3 linked regions of the Danio rerio genome follow. The protein of the gene in region 2 purifies or fractionates together with the protein of the main gene of each other region. This does not show direct contact. Links are inferred from orthologs where the notes say so. Each region holds a gene or a part of one and is shown on either strand. Other genes may lie near its edges.

What was found.
Region 1: the proteins of g3bp1 (region 2) and fxr2 purify together in Homo sapiens (affinity purification with mass spectrometry; 3 studies listed by BioGRID and IntAct, with this or other methods). This does not show direct contact. The link is inferred for Danio rerio from reciprocal best matches to the Homo sapiens genes G3BP1 and FXR2.
Region 3: the proteins of g3bp1 (region 2) and stau1 purify together in Homo sapiens (affinity purification with mass spectrometry; 3 studies listed by BioGRID and IntAct, with this or other methods). This does not show direct contact. The link is inferred for Danio rerio from reciprocal best matches to the Homo sapiens genes G3BP1 and STAU1.

The regions. Positions count from the first base shown.
Region 1 is NC_133182.1:22,701,878-22,705,634, reverse strand, and holds the start of fxr2 (fragile X mental retardation syndrome-related protein 2), read right to left. Parts: upstream 2,391-3,757; 5' UTR 2,328-2,390; coding exon 2,277-2,327; exon of another isoform or gene 1,113-2,276; intron 783-1,112; exon of another isoform or gene 1-782. UniProt on the Homo sapiens protein: mRNA-binding protein that acts as a regulator of mRNAs translation and/or stability, and which is required for adult hippocampal neurogenesis. Specifically binds to AU-rich elements (AREs) in the 3'-UTR of target mRNAs.
Region 2 is NC_133189.1:30,207,398-30,211,154, forward strand, and holds the start of g3bp1 (ras GTPase-activating protein-binding protein 1), read right to left. Parts: upstream 2,192-3,757; 5' UTR 2,076-2,191; intron 960-2,075; 5' UTR 938-959; coding exon 843-937; intron 759-842; coding exon 677-758; intron 1-676. UniProt on the Homo sapiens protein: Protein involved in various processes, such as stress granule formation and innate immunity. Plays an essential role in stress granule formation.
Region 3 is NC_133181.1:48,977,234-48,980,710, reverse strand, and holds part of stau1 (double-stranded RNA-binding protein Staufen homolog 1), read right to left. Parts: intron 1,979-3,477; coding exon 1,903-1,978; intron 1,824-1,902; coding exon 1,498-1,823; intron 1,427-1,497; coding exon 1,304-1,426; intron 1-1,303. UniProt on the Homo sapiens protein: Binds double-stranded RNA (regardless of the sequence) and tubulin.

The sequences.
Region 1 (3,757 bases), on a different chromosome or scaffold from region 2:
GAGTTCCAGTATGTAACCTGCTTGGAAGAGGCAGGCTAGTTTCCGGAAAACTGGCACAAGCACATACTGTATGCAGGCCTATTTAGAGCCATGTGCATATACATACAACCCCTTAATGCATTAACCTGCATTATCACGCTTGCCAAATAATGAACCAACTATAAAAGATGATCCTACGGTATTAATTTATGCACGTCAATAGGACAAGACACTAAACCAGCGTAAAAAGAGCTGTAAATCTACATGTCCAAAAATGGAGCTCCCTTTACAAGCTTTTAAAAATGAAGATTTAACGCCTGCTAATTTACAAGTCAGCAAAACAGACTAAAAGCAGCTGGGCAGGCTTTTAATATAAACTGTCCCATGTTGAAACTGTTCCAACATACTAGATTGTGAATTTACATATTAGTGTCTGCTGGCCAGTTCTGTGCAGGAGAGGCGTTAGGGTGGCCTTACGTTAGGGTGGTATTTCTGGATATGTAACACTACAGGCATGCAGGACCCAAGAGGATGAGTGGCAGATAAGTAGTGTATGACGAAGACCCCCGGCCACGTGGAGGTCTCCATGTGCATCTTCATTCATAGCATTTGAGGGAACCTTGAAGAAGCTTGAATTGAAATAAACTGCATGACTAAAAATTATTTTACAAGTTCTGACTTATGGAAAAAAACATCAATATTGGGGCAGACTTTACACTATGTATACACTGTATACTTGCTGTATACTTGCTCCAACTCATAGTTTGGTTACAAGACCCAAGACTTTAGAACCAATGTTGTATCTATTAAGGCAGTGGTTCTCAAACTGTGGTACGTGTACCACTAGTGGTACGCGGGCTTCCTTCTAGTGGTACACGGAGGAATGACATATATCATGTACATGCTACATATATTTCAACATTTATAAAAAATTATGTGTATAATATGCCATATATGACATATAGCCTTTATTTCTGAGGTAATATGCCATGTTTTTTTTAAACTGTGCAGAGTTGTAGCTGCTTTACTGGGCATACTACGCTACTGTATTTCAATATTGCTTATTTTGGTGGTACTTGGAGAAAGAATTTTTTTCTGAGGGTGGTACTTGATGAAAAAAGTTTGAGAACCACTGTATTAAGGACATTTCAAATCTCAGACCAAACTATTTTTATTAAGTGGTAAATAGTCAATGTAAACTCAAATTTAAGGAAAAGCCTGCAACAATTAAATGCTACATTTAAAAACCTGAAAAGAAGAAAGAGTATTCAAATAAAATAGGTGCTACTAGGACTAAAAAAGACCTAAAAAAACGTAAAGACAGCAAATGATGAGACCAGAAAAGAAGAGAGTTGGTCAGTTTTGGTAGGGGGTTGTAGAGTGTTGGGTGTCAGCAAAGAGATCACCTGTTCCTCTTCCACCTGCTTTGGCCCCTCAGACTTCTACAGCTTGAAACAGCCGACACAATCACAGTACTATCCTTAAATCACAACCTATGACATAACATGACCATCCATACTCTAGTCATTGATATAGAGACCTTTTTTAAATGTAATACAGCATGTTCTTCACGAAAGCAAGATAAGTGGTTTCCCACTGTTTAACTTGAACTCAAACTGACCAAACAAAGAGAATATCACTGTGAATTCACAACCAATATGAAAATTAAACGACCCAACCTGACACTTTAATAAGCTAGTCCAGCCACAGAGTATCTATCTTAAACAGTTAAAACCAAAAATAAAAAGTGATCATCATTTAGGAAGAATGACAACATCAGACAACATTTGCTTAGACTGCCTGGAAATAATTAAAACACTGTCGGTCCACACTTTGACTGCCTTTCCTTTTTGTGGAACAAAGAATAAAGAAAGGGTTGTGAACAAGATGAGGATGATACATGATGGCAGAAATATCATTTTTGGCCTTAACTTCCCCTTCAAGCACTGATGAAATGTCCCATCATGTCTCTCAAAACCAAGTAACCTGCTCATCCTCTCATAAAATCTCCCAAAAATGCTTTCTATGTAGGGCACCTCGGTTGATTTTGAGATATAGCCACTGGCTTCTTGTCTTGTTAGCTAACCTGCTAAAATGACTCGGTGATTCCCCTGTTTATAGCTGAGAAATGAGAAAACAACACTGTACACACACAACCAGGCCGATGATCATTAGGTCTCGGGCCTCTTTGAAAGTGATACACATGACTGCATCACATCTCGGCTGTCCCGACCCGCTCGCTGATGCGTACACTGGAGCTTTATGGTTTAAAATGGGTTCATTTTAAATGAAGTTACCTTGTAGAAGGCCCCGTTGGAGCCGCGCACCTCCACCGCCAACCCGTCCATGTTCGTCGTCGCTTCCCCACGGCTGTGCCTCTCTTTAGGCGCTACGATAGCGTGCGAGTCCGGTACCACCCCCAGCTTCACGGGCCTCTCGCCGTTCTCCGGCCGCTTCTGTGTGTCCAGTGTTTCGGGTGAGAGAGGGGGCAAAGGTGACGGGGGAACACAGGAGCCACAGGGAGGGGGTTCAGCTCCGACACCCCTTACAGCAAGGCAAGCCAACTCGAAAACGGCTGCCTACAGCGCGAGGGAAGCTCGCGGGAGTGCCGTTAGTGGCCGGTCTGAAGCTGGACTGATGCTGTCTGATGACGGTGGATGTAAACGAGGTGTTAGCACAACAGCTAGCGCAGCCGCTAATCAACGGGCACCGACACCTTCTGGCACTTGATCTCGCGGCTCCTGCATATGTCGGGATGATTCTCGTAAAAATCCTCTATGTTATATCTGAAAACGCTGTTGATTAGGACGTCTGTTCTTTGATAAGACTGTGATGCTGTGCTACTTCACCCTTCCCCTCCAACACACGCCGTCAGAGTGGAGCAGCAAGACTGTGAATGACCCCGAAATCCCCACCCCTCTCCACTATACGCCCCGCCCAGCGCAGAGTTTGAGGCTTTGATTGGTCTACCACACTGCCACTTACTAACAGCTGGAAGATCTGATTGGTGGAGCTGTCGGGGGCTGGTCGATGCGGACTCGGTGCTCGCGGCTCCTGGTTCGCCGGGTTTGTCCTATTAGCGCCAGTTGTGTAGTTGCTATATTTGGGTGGCTCTGGTTGGTTTTTGACGACAGACCCACTCCTGATTCACAAAAAACTCCGAAATGTACGTTTCATGAAACGACCAGACTTTATAAAAAGCTCGTTATTTAGGAATACTGATAAATAAATATAATGTGTGTCAAACGCGAGATGCAATTTCTATTTTGAGCAGATGCTTTCATAACACACCGTGCAACCGCATGAAAAACAATCATGAAATGTATCAAATCTAAAACACTGGTCTCACTCTGAATAATTTGATGCATTAGGCACAACTGATTGATTTTGTATGTAAAAATCCGTAAAATCAAAGAATTGACATGAAATGTGTAATCAAGCCCCGTGACAGGTCCACTAATTTATTTTTCAGCAATACTTTATTGTTGTGGATGTTGGATCATGAAATCTCACAGCTTCAAGTTTATTGTTGAACTGGGTTGGGTTATACTGGGAATACAGGCCAGTAGCCTGGTGAAAGGGATGGTTCTTTTTTTTCAAAAAGTGGACCTTTTTGCAGTTATTCACCTCAATTTTCTATTAAATTATTAGATCTAAATACTGTATTTTGAATTAAAACCAAATGGGAGGAAGAGTTGGTTATTGATATTGATGAGGAAACATGGGATGATGGTCTAAAGCTAAGAAAATATCTGTTTGTACACGTACAAGGGAATAC
Region 2 (3,757 bases):
GTGATAAACAAATATGATTGGTTGTTGGATTAATAGTTTCAATTCCTGCAGATTCATCTAAACCATGTAAGAGTTAGATTCTGATTTAATTCACAAAATGGAAATATTTTTGTGCACATATGGATTATTTTTTATTAAAATTTGCTCTTGATTGAAACTTGATTTGGATTTTTTTTCTCCCTGGTGTCAAAGAGGAACTCCATGATGACCACTTTACATGGTAGAGCATGCACATTCAAGACCAAGGGTACACCCACAATCATGCTTCACTCAGGATGAGGAAGTCACTGCAGCACTGCACAGCATTTGCTAAAAAAATGGTTAAAAGGTGGTCTTATTGGTTTGTAAAGGGAAGTTGGGCTTATTCAGGCGTAGATGATTAAATCCTCTCTCATGCAAGCTTGTAAATGCTTAAACTGAACTCTCTGTTGTTTATAGACTGGCACAAAATAGCTTATGGAAATAAAGGTTTTTAAAGACTGTCTTCAAATTAATTATTTGAAAAATCTTTTAGAAGTAATGTGAAATGTATCTTAAAAAAAGCAAAAATGTGGGGGTTTTTTTTACCCAAGACGCACAAAACTTATTCCAGAAAACCTCTAAAACAATGTTAGGTTCGGTTATAATAGTCTAAAAGGGGCAACTTAATTCACAACAACTGTAATATAATACTCACAGACTGTCCATATACTGCTTCTGCTGGTTTTCCATTGTTGTCCAGTCCACCATGTACATATGAGGAGTTCTTGCCATAAAACCTTAAGACAACAGCAAAGTTTAGCTTTACTGCAATATAAACTACCAAAAAAAGGAATGTTATACGTTAACAAAGGGCAAGTCACCTGTGCAGGTAGTCAGGAGCCTGGTTCAGCAGGGTGTAATACTGTCGGACAAACTCTCGCCCGACAAGCTGGGCACTTGGCTTCTCCATCACCATTTCTTTGGTCAACTGGTTTCAACTAAAACAAAAATGACTTATTATAAAAAAAGCACCTCCACTGTTTCTTCACCCTTATGTGGTTCCAAAGACACATGGTTGCTTCTTGAGGACCACAAAAGGAACTGCCCTGCGACATCTCCTTATGCGTCCTTCAGAGGAAAGCTAACGTTATCTGGATTTGAAAATCCTGATAGAGGCAACTCCCATTCCTGACGGAACTCATTTGAATATCAACCGCTATAAACGATATTTGATGAAGGAAATCGGGACAGGCCGCTTGTTGAAACCGAAACAAATCCCTTTGTTAAGCTCATGAAGACGTAACGTTAGACGCAATGAGGACGTTTAACAACAGCGTCTATACATTTCCGTCGCGCCCTAAAAGAACAGCAGTTCAATTAGATGTTTTAACTCCTAGTGAAGGGTGGGAAATTATTCCTATTGGAAAACTGTTTCAATCTGATGAATTCATTGTAAGGTTGAGCCAAGTAGGCCTGGACAACAGCGACGCGTTGCCATCTTGAGCCCCGTACCTAAGAGATAATCAATATTTCTTTCGTTTTCGAAAGGTTAACGAAAACTACTTGATCAAGGTCACAATTTAATCCACGTCCTAGAATTCTTCATTCGCCATTCATGAATCAGGCACGTGCCCAGTAACGTTACCGCGCTGACTTCAATTAATGTTACACGATCGTAATATATATCGAATGACAACACAATACGCAGAAATTTTGTTAAACTGATCTTAAACATCAGAAGAAGCGTAACACACCCTAACGACACCGTGAACGTGTGCTCCCTCTTTGTCGGAAATGTCGGCTGGTGGTCAAGCAAATGCAGCTAAAGCTAATCCTCACAGCGTCGACTAACAAAAAGACCCAGCCAGCGACCTAAGGCGGATTTGACCTTTTAATCGTCTGAAATAATCATAGCATTCATAATATGAAATATTTTTTATACAAAAACTACCGGAACTATACCTCTATATTAGATTAATCACATACTTTAAGCACATGGCTATTAGCTGCGCAGGAGCTAACAGAAAGCAGTACGCAACGCACAAGAACAAAAAAGATGTAGTGAAAAATAAACTGTAGAACATATTTAACTTAAAAAGCTAAAGTGAACTTACCGAAAGGGAATCAGTAATGTGTTTTTGGGAAGAGTTTGACGTGATTTAGGTGAAGCACCTCCTGCGCCGGTAGCTGTGAAGCTTTTAGCTGAGACACTGGCAGCAGCGCGTGTGGCGAATTGCCGGTTTCACAGCAGCGCCTACTAAACTCAACGGCCCACATGATCGCAGAACCCAGCAGCCAATCAGAACACCGCATTGGAACCCCCCATCCTATCATAATTCGTTCTGCCGTAAACCCCCTAAAATTACCCAACTGAAAACGTGGGTGAAAGAAATGATCATAGCAAGTTTGTCTGTCCCGCACGTACGTGAACTATGTGGTGAGCCATTGCGCAGCTGCCGATGCTGACCGTGTTGTTACTGTGCGCATTTTTGTTTGCGAAACTATGAGTTACTTGGTGATTTCCGTGCACATTAGAAACTGTACACTACAAACATTCAACTGCCAATGTAAGTCATTTGAGAAAGCGCCAAAGAGTAAAGAAAAGAAAGAGTAGATGATTAAGAAAATGTCAACAAGTCTTCATCTAAAGCAAGACAAGACATTTTGTACTGTGTTGTACTCATTTATGTAATTAGATAATTAATGACAGGGCTTTTGATTTAATTAAAATTATTATTGAAAGTTATTTCTACAGTTATATAGACATAATATAGCAATATTCATATATAGCAACATAACAATTTTTTCAGCCTCAGTAATGACCTAATGTTATTTACCGAAAGGTTTGAACAAGCAAGTAAAGAGTCATCGAGTAGTAAAAGATGGAAGAGACAGATTTTTTTATTTTTGGGTCAACTATCACATTAATGTCTTAAATATATATATATATATATATATTTATGTATATATATATATATATATATTTATGACATATATATATATATATATGTCAAGCCCATAGTCAGCATGATGAAATGGGGTGGTTCTTTTTCTCAAAAGTGGAGCTTTAACTTTCCTCATTCAAAATTTGGCCACTTGAATAATAAAAAATTAAAACAGAATAATAATAATATAGAGCTTCATAATTTTAGATTTTATTTGAAAATTCATGGATAACAAAAATAGCCAATTTAGCTTTCAAATTAATTTTAATATGGGCCTTTCGCGGTGCTTCAAGCCTTTTTATAGGTTTATTATATCAAAAATAAGGTTTAAGATTTAGAATAAAAGTTAATTGTAAATGTTTTCTCTATTTAACGACAATACAGTAGGTCAGTAGTGAATTTTCACAGTATGTCTGATAATATTTTTTCTTCTGGAGAAAGTCTTATTTGTTTTATTTCGGCTAGAATAAAAGCAGTTTTTAATTTTTTTAAAAAAGATTTTGAGGTCAAAATTATTAGCCCCTTTAAGCTAAACATTTTTCGACTGTCTACAGAACAAACCATCATTATACAATAACTTACCTAATTACCCTAACCTGCCTAGTTAACCTAAATAACCTAGTTAAGCCTTTAAATGTCACTTTAAGCTGTATAGAAGCGTCTTGAAAAGTATCTAGTCAAAAATTATGTACTGTTATCATGACAAAGATAAAATAAATCAGTTATTAGAAATGAGTTATTAAAACTATGATGTTTAGAAATATGTTGAAAAAAAATCTGCTATCAGTTAAACAGAAATTAGGGAAAATAAACAGGGGTGCTTATAATTCTGATTGTAGTTAGAATTGAGG
Region 3 (3,477 bases), on a different chromosome or scaffold from region 2:
ACCGCACATCATTTATATGATCATATCACATTTTAAAGTTATGATTACGACAAGCATTGGATATGATTTTTCTTTCATAGCGAACACAGTGTTGTGCATGATAATAAATGTGTACCAGTGTCAGATTAACTACTCTAGCCTGTTGAATATAATGCAAGAGGCAATCTGAAAATGACAAATGTCTCATTTTACCAGTGAAAAAAAATGGTCTCAATGTTGTCAATGACAAGCACAAATCTCAAACATAATATTTCAACATCAGAATTATGAATAGTTGTATTCTATATTCTATTCTATAGTTGTCCCAGTTTTCCCCACAGTCCAACGACATATGCTGTAGGTGAATTGAATAAACTAAATTGGTGTGTGAATGCAAGAGTGTGTATGGGTGTTTCCCAGTACTTGGCTGCGGCTGAAAGGCCATCCACTGTGTAAAACATATGCTGGAATAGCTGGTGGTTCATTCTGCTGTGGCGACCCCTGATTAATTAGTTTACCCCTTAGTTTTATTTGGACTACGCCGAAGGAAAATGAATGAATTAAGGAACGTCTTTTTCAGTTCATAATATTTGACCATTAGTTTTTCAAGCTACTTGTATTCAGCTTAAAGTGCCATTTAAAGGCTTAACTAGGTTAATTAGGTTAAATAGACAAGTCATTAGACGACTGGTTTGTTTTGTAGCCAACCGAAAAAATGGGGCTGATAATATTTAATAATCATTCATTCATTTATTTTCTTTTCGGCTTAGTCCCTTTATTAATCTGGAGTTGCCACAGCTAAATGAACCGAAAACTATTCCAGCATATGTTTTACGCAAGGATGCCCTTCCAGCTCCAACCTATCTCTGGGAAACATCCATGCACACTCATTCACACTTATACACTATGGACAATTTATCCTACCCACTTCACCTGCACTGCATGTCTTTAGACTGTGGGGGAAACCAGAGCACCCGGAAGAACCACGCAAACACAGGGAGAACATGCAAACTCCACACAGAAACACAAACTGACCCAGACAAGGCTCGAACCAGTGACCTTTCTTGCTGTAAGGCGACACTACCTACTGCGCCACTGCGTCGCCATAATATTTAATATAAAAATTATATCTATATTTTTTAACTGCTGATGTTCCAGTCAAATTAAAAGAAATGTGACTTTCTCCAGAGGAAAAAAAAATACTGTTGAAATGTCCTTGGTTCTGTAAAACATCTCTTGGGAAAATTTTGAATAATGATGAAAATGTTCACAGGAGGGTTAATCATTTAATCATCGACTGTATAAAGCTTAACATGATGCTCACCATGTCATGGCAGGACTCCACGTCCTTGCCGATGCCGTGGCTGATGAGAGGAGGCTGAGAGGAGCAGTTGATCAAAGACACAAACTCGTTCTTGTTATTTTTGGGAAAGTCTTTATATTCAACCTGTGCCAAAACAAATCAATAAATCAAAACATGTTGGGTTGATAAAGTGTATTTGCAGACATATTCAGTACCTGTAAGCCCTGTACATTGGCCAGGTAGCTGAGCTGTTCAGATGGTCTGGTCAGGGGCCCTTGGGGTCTGTGTGCCAGGCTGTTGTTGGTCTTCAGTATTCCCTCAGCGGTCGGGGAAGTGCCAGCGTACAGCAGCTCATTGGCAATCATGGCCGTCACTGTAGCGTTGGCTGGGTTTGGGGCAGCTGTGCGACCGTAGTCTTTGGCATGGGGACCCTGGTTGGCACCCACCGCCTGTGCTACCTCAGGCACCATGGGTAAAATGCCAGCCGGAAGCTGCTGATGGCTGAGGAAGGGAAGGCGGAAATCCTCCTCCTTACTGACCACTATAAGGAAGATAAGAGTTGGTCACAAGCAGGAAATCTTCACTAAAACGTGTATGAAAAATGACAGCAAAACACATACCAAGACCAGCTTTCTCCATAGATCCCGGCTCAAAAAAGGTCACTTTTCGTCCATCTCCAAGTTTCTTAGCAGGCGGCTTTACAAAGATAAAATGTATATACACTTAAAGGGACAGTTCACTCAAAAATGAACATTTATTTATTTACTCATCCTCTACTTGTTTCAAGCCTGTTTGAGTTTCTTTCTTCTGTTCAATACAAGGGAAACTGTACTGAAGAATGTTGTGAGAAAAAACAGCCATTGACTTGTATGGTATTTTTGTTCATACTATGGATGTTAATGATTGTTTTGCTGTTTGGTACAACGTGAGAATAAGTAAATAATAAATTAAAAAAAAAAAAAAAATGTTATGTGGGGATTTTAGAACTTAAAAATGTGCAATTTTCAAAATGTTCAAATAATAATATATTATAATTAGGAAAATCAGTTCTTTGTAACTTTCTTTACATTTATTTAAAAAATATTTTTAGATAAAAGTTTTTTTTTACATAAATATGGCTATAAAGTAAAGCATAAAGTAGTTTTGTTTTGCGTTTGCATTATTAAACACTAAAATAAAATATAAAATAATAAAATATTTTTATATTTTAATAAAATAAAATAAATTAATTAATTAATAAATAAATAATTAAAATAGAATAGATTAAAATAATTTTTTTCAGTGTTGGTGAAAGTTACTTTTGAAAGTTTTAATGCATTACAAGTGTGCCTCAACCCCTGGGCTGCGAACCGGTACGGCTCTTTGGATCAATATGTACCGGCCTGCACAAGAAACCATTAAATATTTCTGTTTTATTTATTATCCGAGTCAGAAGGATCATTTATTTAAAAAAATGACTGTATTCTCGGTTACATCTTGGTCACTCGAGCTCCCCAAATTTAACTCACAAGCTAGCAAAAGGAGTAAGAAACAGATGTCTTTGGAAAGTTTCTTTGTGAAGGGGAAAAGGCCAAGTGAAGAACCCATGAACTACCAAGGAATAGATCCATAACCCATTTGTCAACAAATTAGGTAAATCCAGCATGTCTGTGCAAGAAGATCAACTGCTGGAGATGGCAAATGAAGGTGGCTGTTCATACATGGCGTTTCTTTCCTGCATCCAAGTTCGTTATTTCCAATGGAGGCGCACATATCTTCAAAATGCTACGAGCACACAGCGAGTCATGTGATAAGACCTGACCAATCAGCTTCATATTTTGTATGGAATATAGACATTTAATGGTCGCCAACATTTTTAATTTTAGTAAATATAAAATAACTAATAACTAAATAAATAAATACCGAACATTTAAATACATTAACCATTAATATGTTAAATAGAAATGTTAAAAATACATTTACATTTGGTGACCAAGTTTATATTTCGGTTTCTACTGCACACCTTAAAGAGAGAGAATAACAAATTGAAATCCCATCCTCTACTTTGGAGGAGGGATTGAGCCGTATTCACTCTTGCTCTATAAATGTAAGACTACAGCTCATCCAATTTAAAGTGATGCATAGATTACACTATACTAAAGCCAAAATTAATAAGTTGTATACTTTTATCTCTCCTTTGTGTGATAGATGCAAAG